Ovis aries: one gene and its partner. The protein of the gene in region 2 binds, or shares a complex with, the protein of the main gene of each other region. Links are inferred from orthologs where the notes say so. Each region holds a gene or a part of one and is shown on either strand. Other genes may lie near its edges. The genes, in order: STON2 and EPS15.

Region 1 (10,214 bases), on a different chromosome or scaffold from region 2:
CTGGAAGGACTGATGCTGAAGCTGAAGCTCCAATACTTTGGCCACCTGATGTGAAGAGCTGACTCACTGGAAAAGACCCAGATGCCGGGCAAGACTGAAGGCAGGAGGAGAAGGGGACGACAGACGATGAGACGTTGGAAGGCATCACTGACTCAATGGACATGAGTTTGGGTAAACTCCGGGAGACAGTGAAGGATAGGGAAGGCTGGCGTGCTGCTGTCCATAGGGTCACAAAGAGTCAGACACGACTGAGTGACTGAACTTAACTGAACTGAATATGCACAGAGTTTCTAGTATATTCAACCCCACAACAAACCATTTTATACTCATGACACCTTGAAACAAATACTGTAAATTGCAAGCCAGCACTCAAAGGTTGACCTTGAGCGTATTTCATTCATTCACATGATGTCCGTTGGGCAGGACTATCACTGATTAGAATTTTGCCACATCTGGGGTTTATAAAAACACAGTGAAAAGAAAACAAACCCTCATTATGGTTTATGTCTTGTGTCATGTTGTACGTGCCAACATACTTTCTCCTTAACGTCTGATCTTGGAATGCTTTCTCATTACAGGAGCAGTGAGTCACAGCTAAGGGAACTGTCACAACTTCCTCCAACCAGAAGCATGAGCCAAACTAGGAATGACCTTGGGTTCTCAGGGGGTTATTTATCTGGGGGGCGGTGATCACAATTTGCATGATCATATGGTACAGATGTTTATTCATGAAGACCCGCAAGGGAAACGAGTAATTTTTTCGACTATTTTAAAATTTAGCCAAGTGTCCACCCAGTGAGCAAACCCAGCTCTGGAAGAAATCAAAACCGGGATGACAAGAAGTGTGACGGGTCAGGATTGGAACTGTGTTGACAGACTCATGGACTGGACAGGGCGTCGGGGCAGAATGACAAAGGCAGGGCGGGACATTTCTTGCTGCTCCGAATCGGAGCTGTTCTCATCTCCTGACTGTGAGCACTGTGCCTGCAGTTCAGTGTAACCCAGAGACTCAGCCCCTCTTACAGGTCAAAGCTGGCCTCCAGCAAAACTGCCACATGGATTATCTTGGGACCTTCCAGATTTTCTCCTCCTTCCACTAGGCCCTTCCATTCAGGTCTTTCCCCTCAACTCTGTCGTAATTCTTCCCTGTAATTCAGTGACTTTCAGAGTGTGGTGTCTGGGCCAGCATCATTATCACCTGAGCACCTCTCTGAAATGCTCGTTCCCAGGCTCACCCCACTCTGCTGGTTCAGAGACTCTGGCATGGGGGCCCAGAAATCTATTTCTTCAAGCCTTCTGCTGCTGCTGCTGCTAAGTCGCTTCAGTTGTGTCTGACTCTGTGCAACTCCATAGACGGCAGCCCACCAGACTTCCCCGCCCCTGGGATTCTCCAGGCAAGAACACTGGAGTGGGTTGCCATTTCCTTCTCCAATGCATGAAAGTGAAAAGTGAAAGTGTTGCTCAATCTGAAGTGCCTGACTCTTAGCAGCCCCATAGATTGTAGCCTACTAGGCTCCTCTGTCCATGGATTTTCCAGGCAAGAGTACTGGAGTGGGGTGCCATTGCCTTCTCTGTTTCAAGCCTTCTAGGTGATTCCATAATGCACCCTAAACTTTGAGAACAGTTGCTTTGGATGATAATTATGAAATAAGGACTTTAATGTGTGAGAGACACCCATTTTAGAAGACCTGTGGGCTTCCCTTGTAGCTCAGTCGGTAAAGAATCTGCCCACAATGCAGGAGACCTGGGTTTGATTCCTGGGTCAGGAAGATCCCCTGGAGAAGGAAACGGCAACCCTCTCCAGTATTCTTGCCTGGAGAATTCCATGGACAGAGGAGCCTGCCAGGCTACAGTCCTGGGGTCTTAAGAGTCAGACACGACTTAGCAACTAAACCACCGGTGAAGACAGGCCACCTGAATGAGCCACTTTTAGGAGTGGACTCTCAAGTCATGTGACAGACAGTGAGAGGGAGAGATCTGAGATCTCAACTGCTTCAATCTCCCCACATTGCTACTAGAGATGCACTCACCCTGAAAATGTGATCATCTCAAACCACCTTAAAACCCTCTCGAGTAACACAACCTTCTAAATCAACCATATGTCAACTGGGCTTCCCTGGTGGCTCAGATGGTAAAGAATCTGCTTGTAATGCGGGAGATCAGGGTTTGATCCCTGGGGTCAGGAAGATGCCCTGGAGAAGGGAATGGCAACCCACTCCAGTATTCTTGTCTGGAGAATTCCATGGACAGAGGAGCCTGGCAGGCTACAGTCCATGGGGTCACAAAGAGTTGGACAGGACTGAGCGCCTAACACTACTACTACTATATAGGTCAACTGAAAAAAAGCCTCCAATGGCAGCTCCCTGCCTATAGGGTAAAGTCCCAGGCTCCTGGCACATAGCCCTGTATCATCTGCCTCTGGGACGCCTCCCTGGCCTTGTCTCCTACGCTTTCCCTCCTAATCATCTCTGCCTCCTTTGCAAGAGGTTCCATGTGCCCACACCACCAGCATGAGCTTTGGCCATGTGGCTTACCTTGGCCAACAGCGTGAGAGCTAAAGTGAAGCCCACTCCTTCTCAGCAGACCTCTCAGGGCCATAGTTGTTTTGCTCACTCACGTTCTTTTTCCCTTCTCCCATAAACAAGATTAGTATGTACCAGAGAGAGGCTGTTTCTTCAGCCTTTAAAGTGAAAGTCACCCAGTCTTGTCCGACTCTTTGCGACCCCATGGACTGTACAGTCCACGGAATTCTCCAGGCCAGAATACTGGAGAGGGTAGCCTTTCTCTTCTCCAGGATTCTTAAGCCTTAATGGGCCCCAAAATGGAGACACATGAGGAGCAGAACCATGAATGACCTGCCTTGGACATGCAACATGGGTGAGAAATAACATGGGTGGTGGTAGCAAGCCACTGAGATTGGGACGGAGCGGGTGGGAGAAGGTATTTGCTCATTTTTCCTAAGATGACTATTATAGCACTTCTGATATCCTGTACTCTCTCTTTCTGGAATCCTCCCCTCTGCCCTACTCTTACTCCCAATCCCAGCTCAATTCTGTCTGCACAAGAGAATTGCCTGTTAGCCTACACTCAGCTCAGGTGTATCCCCTCAACAAAGTCTCTCTCTTTTTAAAAATTCTTTCCCAGGTACAGTTCATCATTCTTACCTTGTGAACCTCCTCTGTCTGCTACCGATCTATAACCACATCCCTGGAATGGCACTAGGGGTTTCTATTCATTAGCACCATCCTTAGAACGATTCCTCTTAAAAAAAAAAAAAAAAAAAAAGGTTTTTTTTGAGCCCTCATTTTGTAATGTGAGAGAGACTTTGGCTCAGAAAACTTCAAGCAACTTCTCCAAGTTTCCCAGCTGTCAGGGGCGGGTGTGGCTCTGAACTCGGCAAACTGCCCCCTGCCCCACGTGCCTCTCTGTGTCTCCTCCAGCACAGCTTTCAAATCCCCCCACTCAGGTGTAGAGGGACGGTCTTCTCACCAACAACTGAAAGGGCTGGTGAATTAATCTGACATTGGAAACATCTGACTTCCCTGGTGGCTCAGACAGTAAAGCGTCTGCCTACAATGCAGGAGACCCAGGTTCGATTCCTGAGTCAGGAAGAGCCCCTGGAGAAGGAAATGGCAACCCACTCCAGTATTCTTGCCTGGAAAATCCCATGGACGGAGGAGCCTGGTGGGCTACAGTCCATGGGGTCGCAAGGAGTCAGACATGACTGAGCGATTTCACTAACATTGTAAGATTTACTTCTGGAAGTCGGCTCCTTACCCTCTCAGATGAGAGTCACGTTCTCTGGGTGGATGTATTTATTCTAAAGCTCCTGGTAAATGTGCCGGAGACCCTAGGAGCACTGGGGCACTTTACCTGCGTCCTCTCCCCAGCTCTCAGGTTGTGGGGGTAATGTTCTGAGAAAGACAGGCAGGTTCCCACTAACATTACTCTAGAGCTGCCCTCCCCAACCTTTTTGGCACCAGTGACGGGTTTCATGGAAGACAATTACTCCACAGACCAAAGTTAGGGGTGGGGTTTTGGGATGATTCAAGCGCATTTACTACACGCTTTGTTTCTATTATTATTTCATCAGCTCCTCAGATCATCAGGCTTTAGATTCTAGAGGCTGGGGACCCCTGCCCTAGAGAATCTCTGGGAAGGTCCGCTGGGGTTTGTCGGGGGGTAGGAAACAAGTAGCAGAGGGCTCAGAAACCCAAGCGAGTCTGATATACATTGATATTTTAGCTTTTAAAAAGACAAATTCAAGGAGTGAAACATTTGACTCTTCAAAGAAAACAAGGAAAGTGACACAGTGGCAAAGAACCGAAGCAGACCACCGAGGTCAGAAACTGAAAAAAAAAAAAAACCTCAAGTGGGAACTGTAATTTTAGGCTTCTGTGAGCTGTTGGCATTTTGTTGTGTGGTTGGGCTTTTGTTTGCTATTCTCTTCTCTCTCTTTTAAAATTCACTTGTTTTAAGGGAGGAGTAGGGAGTATAACAATGCTCAAAGTTTCCCCCTTAAATCAGCCATAGTAATGAGGCAACACAGTACCATGATATAACATTCATACACATTTTTTTCAAGGGTTACAAAGTTTTCTCAGTTACTAGTTGGAATCTATTTATCTCTCACCATTCCAATGAAGCAGACTTGTTTTTCTTTTTTTTAATCCCTCAAAGGATATAGTACCTTTAAATGATACCATCAGTAAGATTATTTTTCCCCTTCAAGTGTAAAAAGCTGTTCAGAACTCCAAAGAGTCACTGGGCCAGTTTGGACAAGTCTGATTTACTCTTTAAAAAGGCCATCCGCTCCGTATAATGAACACTAAGCCAGCCTTTATGGAACACTTCAGCGCTGGCCTCAGTGTTTTCCAGCTTGGCTCATTTACTCCGCAAAGCCACGCCATCGGGCAGGTAAAGGCAGTGTTTTGACTTTACAGTCTAGAAGAGTGAAGCGCAGGAGACCACGAAGGACCTGCCTCGGAGAAAGAGACGGAGGCCACTAGCTGTACAGAAACCAGTTAATGATTCACTCACAGCCCTGGGGCAGCTCCTTTTAGTACAGGCTGCAACACACACACACAAACCACATCAACTCTCTTCATCTCAGCGAGAGGGGCGGGTGTCAGGCAAATCGCTTGGCAACGAGAGGAGGAAACTCCATCCAAAGGCCGGGTCCAGGCCGCCTCTGGGCGCTGTCCAGCGGGCATCGTGCCTGAGAGGCCAGGCTGGGGTCCCTGTATCCGGATACCCCGAAAGTGGGGCGCAGAACGCCAAAGCAGTTTTGGGGAGGGTTGGGGTGAGGGGTGGACGGTGGAGAAAAGCACAGTCCGCAAGGACACCTGTTGTCGCCTCCCTCACTAGGGCCCCAAGAAGACGTCCCGGGGACCCAGATCTCGGGGCGGACACGCACGGGCAGACAGCGCCTGTGTGCGAGGCAGGGTGTCCAGGGGTCACGTCTTGTCCCCCGACTCTGCACCCCTGCCCACCTTAGCGGACTCCCCTCGCTCGCTCTCACCGCTGGACGCCCGCGGCTGGGGGAAGCGCGTCTCCCCGGGGCATTCCAGCCGAGGCAGCTTCGGGGGGCTCCACAGGGGCTCGGGCAGCTCCCGCAGCGCTACGACCTCGCGGCCGGCCCGCCCCCCCGCCCGCTCCACCCGCGGGAGCCCGGAGCGCGATCGGCCTCCCAGCTCGGGGAGCAGCTACCTGCGGCGCGGCGCGCAGAGTCCTGAGGGTCCGCCGGAAGGTGGCCGCGGCTCAGCGGGAGTGGCGCCGGCCCCGGGGTGCCCTCGTCCCGCCGCGCGCTCCTCCCTGCCGCGCTCGCTCCGGGGCGGCCCGGCCTCAGGCTCCCCAGTCCGAGCTCGCTCTGCGCCCAGCGGCGCTGGGCGCCGCTCCCGCCGCTACGGATTGGCCGAGGAGCGAGCCAGAGCCGCGCGCTGATTGGTCTGCCGGGCGGTGGGCGGGTCCGACGCGGCGCGGACCCGCCCCTACCCCGACCCCCCGCGCCGCAGCCCCGCGGTGTCCTTTCTGCACCCGGAGCTCGGAGCTCACAGCCAGACGCTGCAACCCGGGCCCTGCCGCGCGGTCAGTGCAGCTCAGGCGTGCGGCCCGGGGGTGCAGGGTCTGGGGACCGCCCAGGAGGCTGTCCCACAGCCCGTGTCGAGGCTGCACGGTGCAGACTGCTGTTCCCCGTCTCACTCTTATATGAGGTTTTGACTCCTCATTCATTTAACGCTTTTACTCTCAGTTCAGTTCAGTCGCTCAGTCGTGTCTGACTCTGTGACCCCTTGGACTGTAGCACGCCGGGCTTCCCTGTCCATCGCCAACTCCCAGAGTTTACTCAAACTCATGTCCATTGAGTCGGTGATGCCATCCAACCATCTCATCCTCTGTCGTCCCCTTCTCCTCCTACCTTCAATCTTTCCCAGCATCAGGGTCTTTTCCAATGAGTTTCAGCCTCAGCATCAGTCCTTGCAATGAATATTCAGGACTGATTTCCTTTAGGATGGACTGGTTGGATCTCCTTGCAGTCCAAGGAACTCCCAAGAGTCTTCTCCAACACCACAGTTCAAAAGCATCAATTCTTCGGCGCTCAGCTTTCTTCACAGTCCAACTCTCACAACCATACATGACCACTGGAAAAACCATAGCCTCGATTAGATGGACCTTTGTTGGCAAAGTAATGTCTCTGCTTTTTAATATGCTGTCTAGGTTGGTTTGACTATATATATAGGCATACTCTCTCTCTCTCTCTCTCTCTCTCTCTCTCTATATATATATATATATATACATATATATAAGTTATAGAATTATAGCTATTAATCCTATGGGCCACCTGACTCATTGGAAAAGACCCTGATGCTGGGAAAGATTGAAGGCGGGAGGAGAAGGGGATGACAGAGGAGGAAATGGTTGGATGGCATCACCGCAGTGATGGACATGAGTTTGAGTAAACTTCGGAAGTTGGAGATGGACAGGGATACCTGGCGTGCTGCAGTCCATGGGGTCGCTAAGAGTTGGACACGACTGAGCGACTGAACTGATATATATATATATATATATATATATATATATATAGGCATAGGACGCAGGGCAGTAGCTCATAAATAGTGGGCACCAAATTGTGTTTCTAGACTCAGATCGTACTTGACACACAATCTTTGTGGAGCTTGCAAAGGGTAAGCGACTTGTCCAGGGTCCTAATCACGTTAAGAGATTACTAAGGACAAGAAGGACAGCGAGGCCTTCCTCAACAAGGAATCTTTACCTAGCTACGGAGATGAGTCTGATTAATAAAAACAACAACCCTAACGTTTCCATGATGCATAGTATTCGCCAGTCAGGTTTCCAAGTACTTTGCATATATTAATTCAGAAATGCATATAACAGCTGTCATAAGTATGCACACAGGTTCCTTGTGGACAAGAGACATCAGTTCTGAGTGCGAGAGATTTTCATCTGGAAGACAGTCGCCCTGCACTGCGATGGAGAGGCACAGGTCAGAACGGAGAGCAACTGTCAGGGGTTAAACCTGCCCGCATCTTCATCTCTCCTCCCATTTTACAGTCTCAGTCCTCCCAACATTCTCTCACACCTGCAACAAATCTTTCCAAAGAATAAAACAACCACTGTAAATCAGGGTGCTCCCAGAACTTTGTTCTACCACTCATCAAAGGACCCCACCCCATCCCCAAACACCCAGCTAGACAATGAGTATAAACAAATAGCACAGTTTCTATTTTACCTTTGACTTTGGTTGCAGTAATGTCTTCTTGACAGCAAGTATATAACCATTTTCCTACAGGTATTTCCCCCTAGTTCTTTTCTCCTGTGTTGACAGAACCCTTGGGAGAGAAATTTAGTTTAATAGAAAAGTTAAAAGACTCTGGTGAAAGCCAGCTTGACCCATTCTGAGAGCCTGATTTTTGCCCTAAGGATTAAGTATTACTTCCAAAGTGTGGTGTCTGATACTTTGTTACCCCATGAACTGCAGCCCGCCAGGCTCCTCTGTCCATGGGATTCTCCAGGTAAGAATACTGGAGTGGGTTGCCATTTCTTTCTCCAGGGGATCTTCCTGTTCCAGGGATCAAACCCGGATCTCCTGCATTGCAGGCAGTTTCTTTACCATCTGAGCCATCAGGAAGTGAGCTGAAACACACTTACCTTGAAGAGCTCAAGACCCTTGGAGAAAATGAGCTCAGTTTTCTCCAGTTTACATTAATGGATAAGCAATCAATTAACTTCATACTGAAAAGATGTATTGGTATAGTGAAGCCTTACCTGATAAAAAATGAGGGTACAACAGGCTGTATGAGGAAGTCTCTTTCACCAGCATCCCTCCCAAGCACCATGGGTGTGGCTTTGGTAAAGCAGAAATTCCATTTGGATTGATCATGCAGTCACTCCGAAGAAAAGAGGCTCCTTCAGCCAAAGAACTAGGCTAACCCCAGATGATTTCTTAAACTGATCAACCTTAGTCTCATCACACTAAACTCAGCCCCCTGGAAGGATACGTGGAAGATTCTGATTTCCTGGGACCTCCGTGGTGGTCCAGTGGCTAAGACTCCTGGCTCCCAAGGCAGGGGGCTTGAGTTCAACCCCTGGTCAGGAACTAGATCCTACATGCTGCAACTAAGAGTTTATAAATAAATATTTTTTAAAAAAGAATCTGGATTCCATCACATTCACTGTGAAACCTTCCTTTGGCAGGAACTCTTTGTGTATCCATCTCTCATCCCTGGCTCCTCTAGCAAAATGCTTTGCTTGGTTCTGCTTCTTGTGTGGGATTTCTTCCCTGGCTACTTGGCGCTCAAGACAACTAAAACAGCTCTTCCTCCATAAGGCCATCATTAGCTCTCCCAGGCAAAGGTAGGATCCCCTCACCTGTGTTATATCTTCATGACAGCATTCTAGTTTACATGGCTGTCAGCCAGTGGGAGGTAATAGGTATTCAGTAAACAGGAACTGATTGACTAAAGTCCTTAACAGGGTAACAAGGTGGCATTAAAGAGACTGGGGCCACACCCTTATCCTGGTCAGCAGGGCATCCTCCAGGTCCAGACTGGTGTGGGTCAAAGTGATCACCCACCTAACCTGATAGTGAGCAAGTAGTTTCTGTATGTCAAGCACTATCAAGTAAAGAAAATAATAGTTCTCTCTTAAATTTATGCAAAATAAAATGCTGCAGCTGATTCAGAAAACACTTTGGCAGTTCCTGAAAGAATTAAACATAGAGTTACCTTATCACCCAGTAATTTTGCTTCTAAAGTATATATTCAAGAGAATTTAAAACATATGTGCATGCAAAAATGTGTACACTGATGTTCACAGAAGCATTGTTCATCATAGCGGATAAATGCAAGCACCCAACACTTATCAACTGGTGAATAGATAAACAAAATGAGGTGCATCCATATGATAGTATACTATACAGCTAAAGAAAGGAGTGGATACGGATACATGCCACAATTTGGATGAAGCCTGAAAACACTATGCTAAGTGAAAGAAGCCAGAGGCCCAAAGGGCCTTATACTGTATGATACCCTTTAGATGACGTTTCAAAATGGGCAGATTTATGGAGACACAAAGCAGATTAGTGTCAGCAAGGGTCTTGGGGAAAGAGAAATGGTAAGTGACTTGCTTAATGGATCTGGGGTTCCCTTTTGTGGTGACGAACATGTTCTAGAATTAGATGATGATTATGGTTGCACAACTTTGTGGCTGTATTAAAAATCACTGAATCTTTTTTTTCATGTCCACAGCATGCATTCCGAGAGTGCAGAAACTGTCAGGGAAGGCAATGTCAGTTAAATCCTAAAGTGTAGTAGCTAAAAGTATAAAAGTGTAGAGAAACAGAAAAGCCTATGAAAAAGTCAGATTGTCTTCCTGTCGTGTTGCAGCTTTCAACAACACATCTTTTTAGATCTGCATTGTCCAACTGAACAGTCTATAGTAACGGACATGTTCTCCATCTGAGCTATTTATTATGAAAGCCACTGGGCATATGTCGCTATTGGATACTTGCAATGTGGTTAGTGCAACTGAAGAACTGAATTTTCAATTGTATTTAAATAGCTATGTGTGGTTAGTGGCTACTTCCCTGGCAGGGTAGCTTTTGCAGGTTTAGAGGACTAGAGCCATCTTCACCGGCAGTTTGGTATGATACTTCAGGGCATGGGAATGGAAGAGTCTATGTCCTTCTGTCCCAAAGC
Region 2 (9,371 bases):
ACACAACTGAGTGACTAAACACACACACTCATAAAGTGCTCGCTGTAGTGCGTTCAATGGCCAGTACTTATTCTATTAATAAGAACATGGCGGAATTTGTTTAATTAAAATAATATTAAAAAGCTGTCAAACTCAAATCAATCAGAACAATCCTGTGAGCTGGGTATTATGATGCTCACTAAAAGAGGAAAATGAGGCTCAGTTCAGTTCAGTCAAGTCCAACTCTTTTGCGACCCCATGGAGTGCAGCACACCAGGCCTCCCTGTCCATCACTAACTCTCGGAGTCTACTCAAACTCATGTCCATTGAGTCAGTGATGCCATCCAACCATCTCATCCTCTGTCGTCCCCTTCTCCTCCAGCCTTCAGTCTTTCCCAGCATCAGGGTCTTTTCAAATGAGTCAGTTCTTTGCATCAGGTGGCTAAAGCTAAGGGAGGCTAAATATCTTTGTCAAAGTCTTCTTTCCTAAAAGTGGCAGACCAGGGTTGCATGAATTTTTGACACCACAGTGCCTTCCAAGAGTCACAAATCCTCATATGCATACATTTCCTATCTTTCTTTCACAAAATAGGTGTCAACTAAAAACAAGTTAACATTCATTGGGTATTCTATACCAGGCACTGTGTCTCAAGCACTTTACACATAATTCATCTGTGCTGATTGCATGTCTACCCTTCCATGGACACAGCAAGAACATAACACAGAATCACGCAAAACTCCATGTCAGATAGGATGTATGGAGACTACGGTTTATTATTACTTAAAGTTTATTGTTCTCATAATTACAGGCTACAGTTTAGAAGTTTGAAACATAAGAGAAAATTCTATAAAGAACTCAAATAAATCTGAACAAGTAGGTAGAAGATGGTTAAAACCTTGTAATAAGTGCTACTTAGCTCTCAGGAATACTCATCTGTCCTTTTCCATCACAGGCACTGGAGCCAGAGTCAACAACATAAAATATGATCATAAATGACTCTAAGACATTCATCCTACTCAAGTGAGCATGGAGGTTTAGATATATATATATATTTATATAATATATACATACTTTAATATCATATTGGTCCACTGAGTATACATATTTTAACAAAAGATAAGAATCTATGCAATCCAGTTAAACACACATAAGATTAAGGTACACTGAAAGTTGGTGTTTATAAGTTACAGATATTTAGTACTTTCCAGAGTGTTCTTTTAATTAAAAAAAAATATTTTAAAACCATTTCAAACATCTGCTCATTTTCCCAGTGCAAAAGAAGGTTGTTCAAGTCAACTTACCTTTTTCCTAAAGTGGAAGGGGAAGAAAAAAAACCCAAAACCCACTACCATTTACAACTCCCAACACTACCTTCTCAATCAACTTTTGGAGTATATCCTTATAAATGGATTAGTTTATCAATATTAAAGCCCGGTGATTATGATTCAGCCCTTGCTTTGTCTGTATGACTTTCATGCTGAAATGCTTTAATTTATAAAAGTAGAAAAAAGCAATGCAAGAAAGTAGTTTAAATTCATTTTGAACTGCAGTAATCCAATTGTGTGTGGAGAGAAAAAAAGCACCATTTCAAAATGAAATAATTGGATATTCTGGAATTTATTCATAAGCTAGGCAATAAGTTACTCTGATTAACACAGATCAATACCACCTTGACTTGGTGACCACAGACACATTTAATTACTCTTTAGGTGCATTTTCCTTTATCTTGGTTTTCAACACATTATTTAAGTCAGTAACTGATGTTAAAAAAATTTAGATTACTCTACAATTTACAGCCTACTTCACAGTCCATTTTAAATTCAGCTTGTCTGCTAAGTCAGTTTTGCAGAAGATAGGCTTTTAACACATAAAGAGATCTGATAACTGGGCAGGTCTCCTCTCTCCCAATTTAAAAAAACAAAAAAAAAGTTTTGCTAGCTTGCCAATTTTGTAGGTGAAAAACACAAAAAGAATAGACTATTTTAATCCACAAAGATGGACACAAAGCAATAATGATTTAATACATGTCACTTTTTTCATCTGTATTCAGAGAATGTTTTTACATTTCAAGTAATTGAGCCTTCATTAAAGAAAACAAAAAAATATATATACAAAAAGTTAAAGTACCTTCCAGTTCTAGCTTACTAAAGTTTCTTCTACAAAAGTAAAAAAATAAACCTACCATGAACTAAAGAGGACAGTGCCATGGCAATGGCAGAATGGCTGCCAGGTTAAGATTTTTGCTTATCTTATATTGATGAGTATATTTTAGGTGAAAATTTTTCTTCATTCTCTAAGTACTTAAAATCATGGAGAGGTATCTGTTTATCTAAAATTCTTTAAATCCAGAAAAAAATTTTTTTAATTTATTTCAGACATGAGGCTTTAATATTTTTATTTAGGAAAAGATTGAGTCTGAAGCTCTAATGGTTCCATCTAAAACATCCTGTTTTCAACAGTGGGAGTCAATGTATGCAAAATATTTTTTCTTGTCTATAAAAAACAAATTGAACAGTATTTTGATTAAAAGGAAATACAAACATGTACTTTAAACTGGCCAATTTGCTCTATCATAAAAGAAATAGGCTGTTCTTTCCCTTCCCCTCTTTCAACCATTTAAATTAGGGGAGAATACTGCCAACTTTAAGAACCCCACTGGCTATCATTAGAGTAACTACAGAATAAGGGTAGCATAGGGGTGAAACTATTTCTCTATATTCCAGAAGGCAGAAACTTGGGTGCTCTAGCTTTACAAGTAAGAGAGGCACAGGCAGGCAACAGCTCACACTAAATGCACACCAGAGCAGGGGCCTAGGTGAAGTCATCTGGGTTACCACTTGCACAGGGGGAAAAAAAAGACAAATCTGAAATGGAGTTTAAAAAGCCAAAACTTTTGTCACATTTACAGGAATCTCAAACCTTTTGTATTCCCATGCTCACAGGTAGGTTTGATACACATTGTAAATAGCTTCAGTATTCAAGAAGGAGAGTGTTGTGTGGTTGACGAAGAACAGGAGATTTCTTCATGCTTCTGATATTTCAGATTTGCTGAGTGCAATAGCCAGTTCTAAGTCTTCTTGCTCTTGCTGATTCAGTCGGGCAAGTCTCTGCTCTTCCTCTCTCTCACTTTCTCTCTTGGCCCACTCAATCATATCTTCCTCAGAGGGATACTGCCATTTAAAAGATAAATGAACAAACAAATGAATACATTCATGAGTAAAACAAGTACAAAGAAAAGAAGGAAAAACAGCTTTCACAAAAGGAAATTGAACTATGTGTTTCACCTGAAGGGCTCTGGAAAAAGTCTTGATTTTTTTTTTCCCCCCAAAAACAAGTTTAATTAGTTTAAACTTAAAACTTTAAATTTAAACTTAAAAATTAAATCAAAATATGATTTAATCTTAAAAGCAATGCAGTCTACAGATAGAGAGTCTATAAAACTGAACATTAAAACATCATTTGTAAAAAGTGGTTATTCTTAAGGTGGAACAGATTTAAAAACAGGAGAGAACTAGCATATTTATCTAATGTAAAACATTTACTACTTCAACTTCAGTGAGCATCCTCACATGATACATCATTTTTAACTTAATCCCACTGGCAATTTCCTATCTTATTCTAGCCCTTCAGGTACAGGAAAATTATAAAGCAAAGAATATACTATACATAAATTTTGTTATACATAAAACAAGAGTCCTGGGTATATACCAAGCAAGATGTGGACCTAATCAATTTTTTTAATGCATTATAATGATTTTAGAAGGTATTGAGAACTTTTTGACCCATTCTAAATAAGACCTTAATGCTGGTAATTAATAAGTCAAGGAAATATATGTATCCACCCCAAATAGCAACCGTGGCAGATACTAAATAAAAACATTCTACTTGGTTTCAAGTCCTGTCATATAGAAGAACACCATAATAGGATGAATACCATAACAAACAGGATGAAAAGAAAGAAACTGTCAGGCTTTTTTGAAAATGGTAGCTTTCTTTCTAGGGAATTATAAGATCTTTGAAACTTTTAATGTTTAACAAATCTTTCATTTAAAAAGACATTTTTATTATTAGATGCTTAATATTATACTATACTGAGATTCTGGAAAATGAAAAAAGCAAATTGCTTTTGTTCAAGACTCATTCCAACCAGGTTTTGACTTATTGAAATCATATTTAAGATATTAAGTGCCACAAACTGCCAGAAGGTTATTTTGTACTAAGAGCATTATAGTAAGAAGAGCAATTCTGGGTTCTCTCCTTGAAACAACTCAAATTCCATCTAACAAGAGTCAGTATAATTCTGACACCTTCTGTTTTCCAATATTTAAAATATTGATTCCTGCTCTGCCTCTTCACATTTGGAAGAAGCCATTGAAACTTAAGAGTACAGATTCAAAAGCTAAATAGCCTAGTCTAATTCTGCCTACCTGCTTTACTAACTAGAAATGGCTGCAGGAATAAAGTGATCGGAAGAGTGACCCTAAGCTACACTGAGGGAGACATTAGGCAGACTGTGGTCAGTCAGCTGGCCACTAGATCTCTTATTTATAGAATCATCTCAAAGGCTTGAGGTTGTTAAGTAGAGGAAAACTGCTTTATTATAAAATAGACAGTGATAATGAAGGTCATTTTTATCTAGAAAAAAAAGCAACCTGGGAAATGAAACAGTTAGTTACTCTAAGAATTAAAACAAAAATTTACGTTTATCTACATGATGATGATATACACGTCATTGCTTAATGCCCCACCAGGGTGATATTTCCAGTTGGTTGCCCCATTTCTATGATCTTATAAGACCCGCCTATACTCTTAACACCACACCCTTCTATTGTCTTTATTGGCCTACTCTAGTCAGCTCTGGGAGAATGCAGAGTAGGTATGGAATGCTAGTGAACTGAGTGAGTGAATCAAAGTCGCTCAGTCATATCCAACTCTTTGCGACCTCATGGACTATACAGTCCATAGACTTCTCTAGGCTAGAATACTGGAGTGGATAACCTTTTCCTTCTCCAGAAGATCTTCCCAACCCAGGGATAGAATCTAGGTCTCAAGCACTGCAGGCAGATTCTTTCCTGACTGAGCCATCAGGGAAGCTTTGGGAGAATGTGGAGTAGATATGGGAAGCTAGTGAATTAGAGTCTTCCAAATAATTAAAGATTGTTTAGCTCTTAAAAATATTTATTTAATAAAACTGATTTATATTTTAAGAACATTTCTGTATGAAACCAGAGTTTTATTTTCTATTCAAAGAATTTCTGGTCCTATCTTCTTATATAATACAGTAATTGCTGACTGGTCTCCAGAAATTTTCAAGGTTTTATACACAAACACACATACACAGTTACAAATAACACAAACTCATTATTGGCATTATTTATCCAGAGGGCAGACAGCAAATGACTCTCTAGTGGCCCACTGTCTGTAACAATTTGCAAAATAATAACTGTCAAGGTTTTGCAAAGCACCTGGTATATATCCCAAGAACTAAGACTACTAAAATCATCTTAACAATGCAATAATTTCAGAACTAGCAGACAGAATCAAACAGAGGTTTTCTTGGTTGGGGGAAGAATAAAGATCATTTTTAACATGTTGGTAAATTTAGCTGAAATAATGCAAATTTGGCAGACTCAAAAATAATCTTTGAAAGCTCTTTAAACTATAAATGGAAAGATTTTCCCCCAAACAGCCCATTCACAGTACTTACAGCACTGAAGTTAGCAAAATTGCTTGGGTCAGCCTCTTTATTGGTAGTGGTAGTAGTAGAAGTGAATGGATCGCAAAACATATCAGGATCTTTTTCTTTGGGGCTATCATTGCCTGGGAAAGGCTGAAATGGATCATTCAGTTTAAAGGGATCAGAAGAATCCATTTTGTTGATGGGTCTTTTCCCTGGATCAAAATCATTACAATTAACTCAACCAGCAAGTATGGCAAACACAAACACACAACAACAGGAACACAGGGAGCATTAGAGAAGTGGGGATGGGGAACCTAAAACACATTCTTAATATGGTCTTAAATGACCACAACCAACAGTCTGTCGTCAAAAATTTCACACACAACCTCTTAAGTACACTCCAGTTTTATGCGGGTAAGTGGGAAAACAGCCAAGGGTGAAGCAGCAGACCTGGAATCTTTTCTGCTCAGAGTTAACTTCTTCTCCAAAGTAGCACGCTCCCAAGGAGAGAGACAAGAATGGATAAAACAGGGGGAAAATGACAAATAATGACAAAAACGGCCTCTGCTGTGATAACCTCTGCCTAATACATAATTCTCCACAAGTGGCAGTAAGGGCAAATGATCTCTGAAAAATGCTAATATTCTTCTGATTTTTCTCTGGATCTATATGTAACACCTGGGAGCATGAAATTAAAAACTACTTTGGTAAAGCCCAGCTACTTCTTGTCATCTACAGTATTTCAAACTGAAGGATAGAGAGAATGTTTTGAAGCCCAGGGCCTAAATTCTGTGGTTACTGATAAACTAATCTTTGACCAAACAATAGCATACTGTTATTCATCACCATTTTCAAACAAGTTTTCTAATTTTCAAGACTTAAACTTAGTACTTGCTGAAGAAAGGATAAGAATAAGTGTTAAAATATCTTCAAATCTAAATATATATTCCTGAAGATGTGTTAATCTGGTAACGGCAACCATAACAACAGAGTCTTTCTGTCACAGCTTACAAAAGGTTTTCACATCTCATATCTCAAAGGATCCTTCCAACAACCCTTGGAGGGCAGCATGAGAACTAATGCCACCATCTAACAGCTCAGAGATCTGGGGCTCAGACATAGGAAGCTCTATACACTCAAGATCACAGAGGATATCAGAGGATATTCAGAATGAGAACTTAGATCTTTAATATCCCAGTTCAACAACCATCCCCCCCCTTTTTTTTTTAAATGTGGACCATTTTTATAAAGTCTTTACTGAATTTGTTACAATATTGCCTCTATTTTATGGTTTTTTTTGGGCTCGACATGTGGGATCTTAGCTTCCCGACCAGGGACTGAACTCGTACCCTCTGCATTGGAAGGCAAAGTCTTAACCCCTGGACCACCAGGAAGTCCTCATTCTTCTTTCTTTGATTTTTCTACAGTGATATATACTCAGTTTATTGAAGTCTTAGATTTAGTTACAGCACTAGTATATTAGTTTATTGAGGATTTTAAAAATCACCTCACTATTGACCTCTTAAAGGTATAAAACTTAAATAAGCAAATTAACTGTCACTTGTTTTTTAACATATTCTGACAAATTTACCCTAGAACAATTAAAAGATATAGGCTAGTCTTCCCTAAAAGATAGAAATCGCTTGTTCACTTGATTTTTCAATAGGTAGTTGGGTATTAATAATTTTATTCACAATTCTTTAAATCAAAGAAGAAAAAAGAAATCTGCCCGAGAAATACCACAGGCAGGCTATTATAAAAAGGCAAGAATAAAAATCTAGAACTACTGTGGCTGAAAATTTATCAAGGATATAAGGTAAAAACAATGATGTACCAGATGTGTCTTCTCAAAAACAATCTAGCGGCACTACAACTACCCAGGGGATTGCCCTTTACCACTTCTCATAAACTTTATTGTTTTCATTAATTAAAATTGAACAAAACCCCTTTCTTTGGTACAGTACTAAACAAAACAAAAGCAAAAAAGTAAGAATCTGTTTCTCGACCAAAACACCACCTTTTTAAAATAAAGGAATCTCTTATTGAGGTAAATAATATTTTCCTTCAAGAAAAACAATACTTTCTTTCAAAATTCTGACACCAAAATGCTGAATTGGCCATTCTGATACCAAAGTGGCCATATATTCTCATACTGAAGGACTTAAGGAAGACTTCACACTTAGCAGGAAAAAGAAAGGGACTCTGGATTATTAACCTTCCCTTATAGAAATTTATTAAAATATCACAGTGCAGGAAACTCTGATTAAATGGAAGCTCATTAGCTTTCAAAAAGCAAGAGATTTCATTTACTGCCTCTCTGAAATGATTTAAAAATAGATTAGCTCTTGCCAGAAAGGTAATTCCTGACAGTTACACAGGTTGGCTTCTTAGGCACAAGTCTGTAATTCTGCATTGAGGTCAGAACAGATGATAACAGCAGGCTTCTGCCATGCTTTCTGACTTGTTCTGCTAAGGCCCTTTATATAACGTCTACAGGTAAGGCTCACACAAACTTCTTGGAAAGAAAAAGAAAGCAGTTGATTTAGGAAAGGTACCAACTCTCATACCAGGTGGTGGTGGGCAGGGTCTTGTTGGAGTTCCTATCTTTGGTGGCAGTGCTGGGGGTACATCTTCATTTTTGACGGATGTTTCCTCAAGCATATTTTTTGTAATGGCCACACTGCTGATGGAGCTTGATGTGGCTGAACTAAAAGGATCTTCATTGTTGACCTTTGTTTGGAAAGAAATATCTTCATTGTTGACCTTTGTTTGAAAAGAAATATTTACTCATGGTTATATATATTATGCCAACCAAACTGTTTATGGTTATATTGCATTTGGAAGAGTGATCTTCAATTTTATGCAGCTTTATTTATTTCAATTCTGAGAGCACTAACATTTCAACTTTTACATTCAGAACCAAAACTGAAAAAAATTTTTAAGTTATTCTATATGAGTAGTGATTATACCACCACTACTTATTAAGCACAACAGATCATACCAAAACAAACCAACTCTGGGTTAAAGGACTGACAAGATTCAGGTAATACAAAACCACTGAGGCCCATTTTAAAGGGACTAATGTATCTTTCCTCAAGTGAATATCTGATCTAAATGATACAGAAAAAAATACTTATTCCACACTTTCCAATGCACTTAAACTAGGAAAGATAAGAAAATGGCATCTTGAAAAACATTAAAGACAACTTTAATGTCATGAAAAACATTAAAGATAAAACAATAACAACTTTAAAAAATGAAAAGTCAACTTTTTTTAAAGCAAACTGATCCCATAGAATGGTAAAGCCTTATTGAGGGTCTGAAGATCTGGCTTTTCTAACACATGGAGTAATGAAGGATTCACTTTAAAATACGCATGTATTTATTTATATGGTCTTAGTTGCTGCATGCAGGATCTTTGCTGTGTCATGCGGGATCTTTCATTGTAATGCACAAACTCTCTAGTTGTGGTGTGTGGGCTCAGTAGTTGTGGCACGCAGGCTTATCTGTTTTGTGGCAGGTGGGATCTTAGTTCCCTGACCAGGGATTAAACCTGCATCCCTTGCATTGCAAGGCAGATTCTTCACCACTGGACCATCGGAGAAGTTCCCAAAAGATTCATTTTTCTGTAATGAATGGGGTATTACAATTTAGGCTACTGCTGCTGCTAAGTCGCTTCAGTTGTGTCTGACTCTGTGCGACCCCAAAGAC

The links.
Region 1: the proteins of EPS15 (region 2) and STON2 are in contact, whole or in part, in an NMR structure (PDB 2JXC), measured with the Homo sapiens proteins. The link is inferred for Ovis aries from reciprocal best matches to the Homo sapiens genes EPS15 and STON2. Residues at the interface, in NP_001972.1 of Homo sapiens: Leu139, Gly148, Lys152, Pro153, Val154, Leu155, Leu156, Asn157, Ser158, Lys159, Val162, Asp163, Leu165, Gly166, Arg167, Trp169, Glu170, His176, Gly178, Met189, Val192, Tyr193, Leu196, Glu197, Lys198; in NP_001353779.1 of Homo sapiens: Trp309, Arg310, Ala311, Thr312, Asn313, Pro314, Phe315, Glu318, Gln321, Asp322, Gln324, Pro325, Ser326, Ile328, Asn329, Pro330, Phe331, Phe334, Phe335, Glu337, Gln338, Glu339, Arg340.

The regions. Positions count from the first base shown.
Region 1 is NC_056060.1:90,897,989-90,908,202, forward strand, and holds the start of STON2 (stonin-2), read right to left. Parts: upstream 5,874-10,214; 5' UTR 5,710-5,873; intron 1-5,709. UniProt on the Homo sapiens protein: Adapter protein involved in endocytic machinery. Involved in the synaptic vesicle recycling. May facilitate clathrin-coated vesicle uncoating.
Region 2 is NC_056054.1:25,790,482-25,799,852, forward strand, and holds the end of EPS15 (epidermal growth factor receptor substrate 15), read right to left. Parts: intron 8,424-9,371; coding exon 8,228-8,423; intron 5,873-8,227; coding exon 5,688-5,872; intron 3,151-5,687; coding exon 3,004-3,150; 3' UTR 750-3,003; downstream 1-749. UniProt on the Homo sapiens protein: Involved in cell growth regulation. May be involved in the regulation of mitogenic signals and control of cell proliferation. Involved in the internalization of ligand-inducible receptors of the receptor tyrosine kinase (RTK) type, in particular EGFR.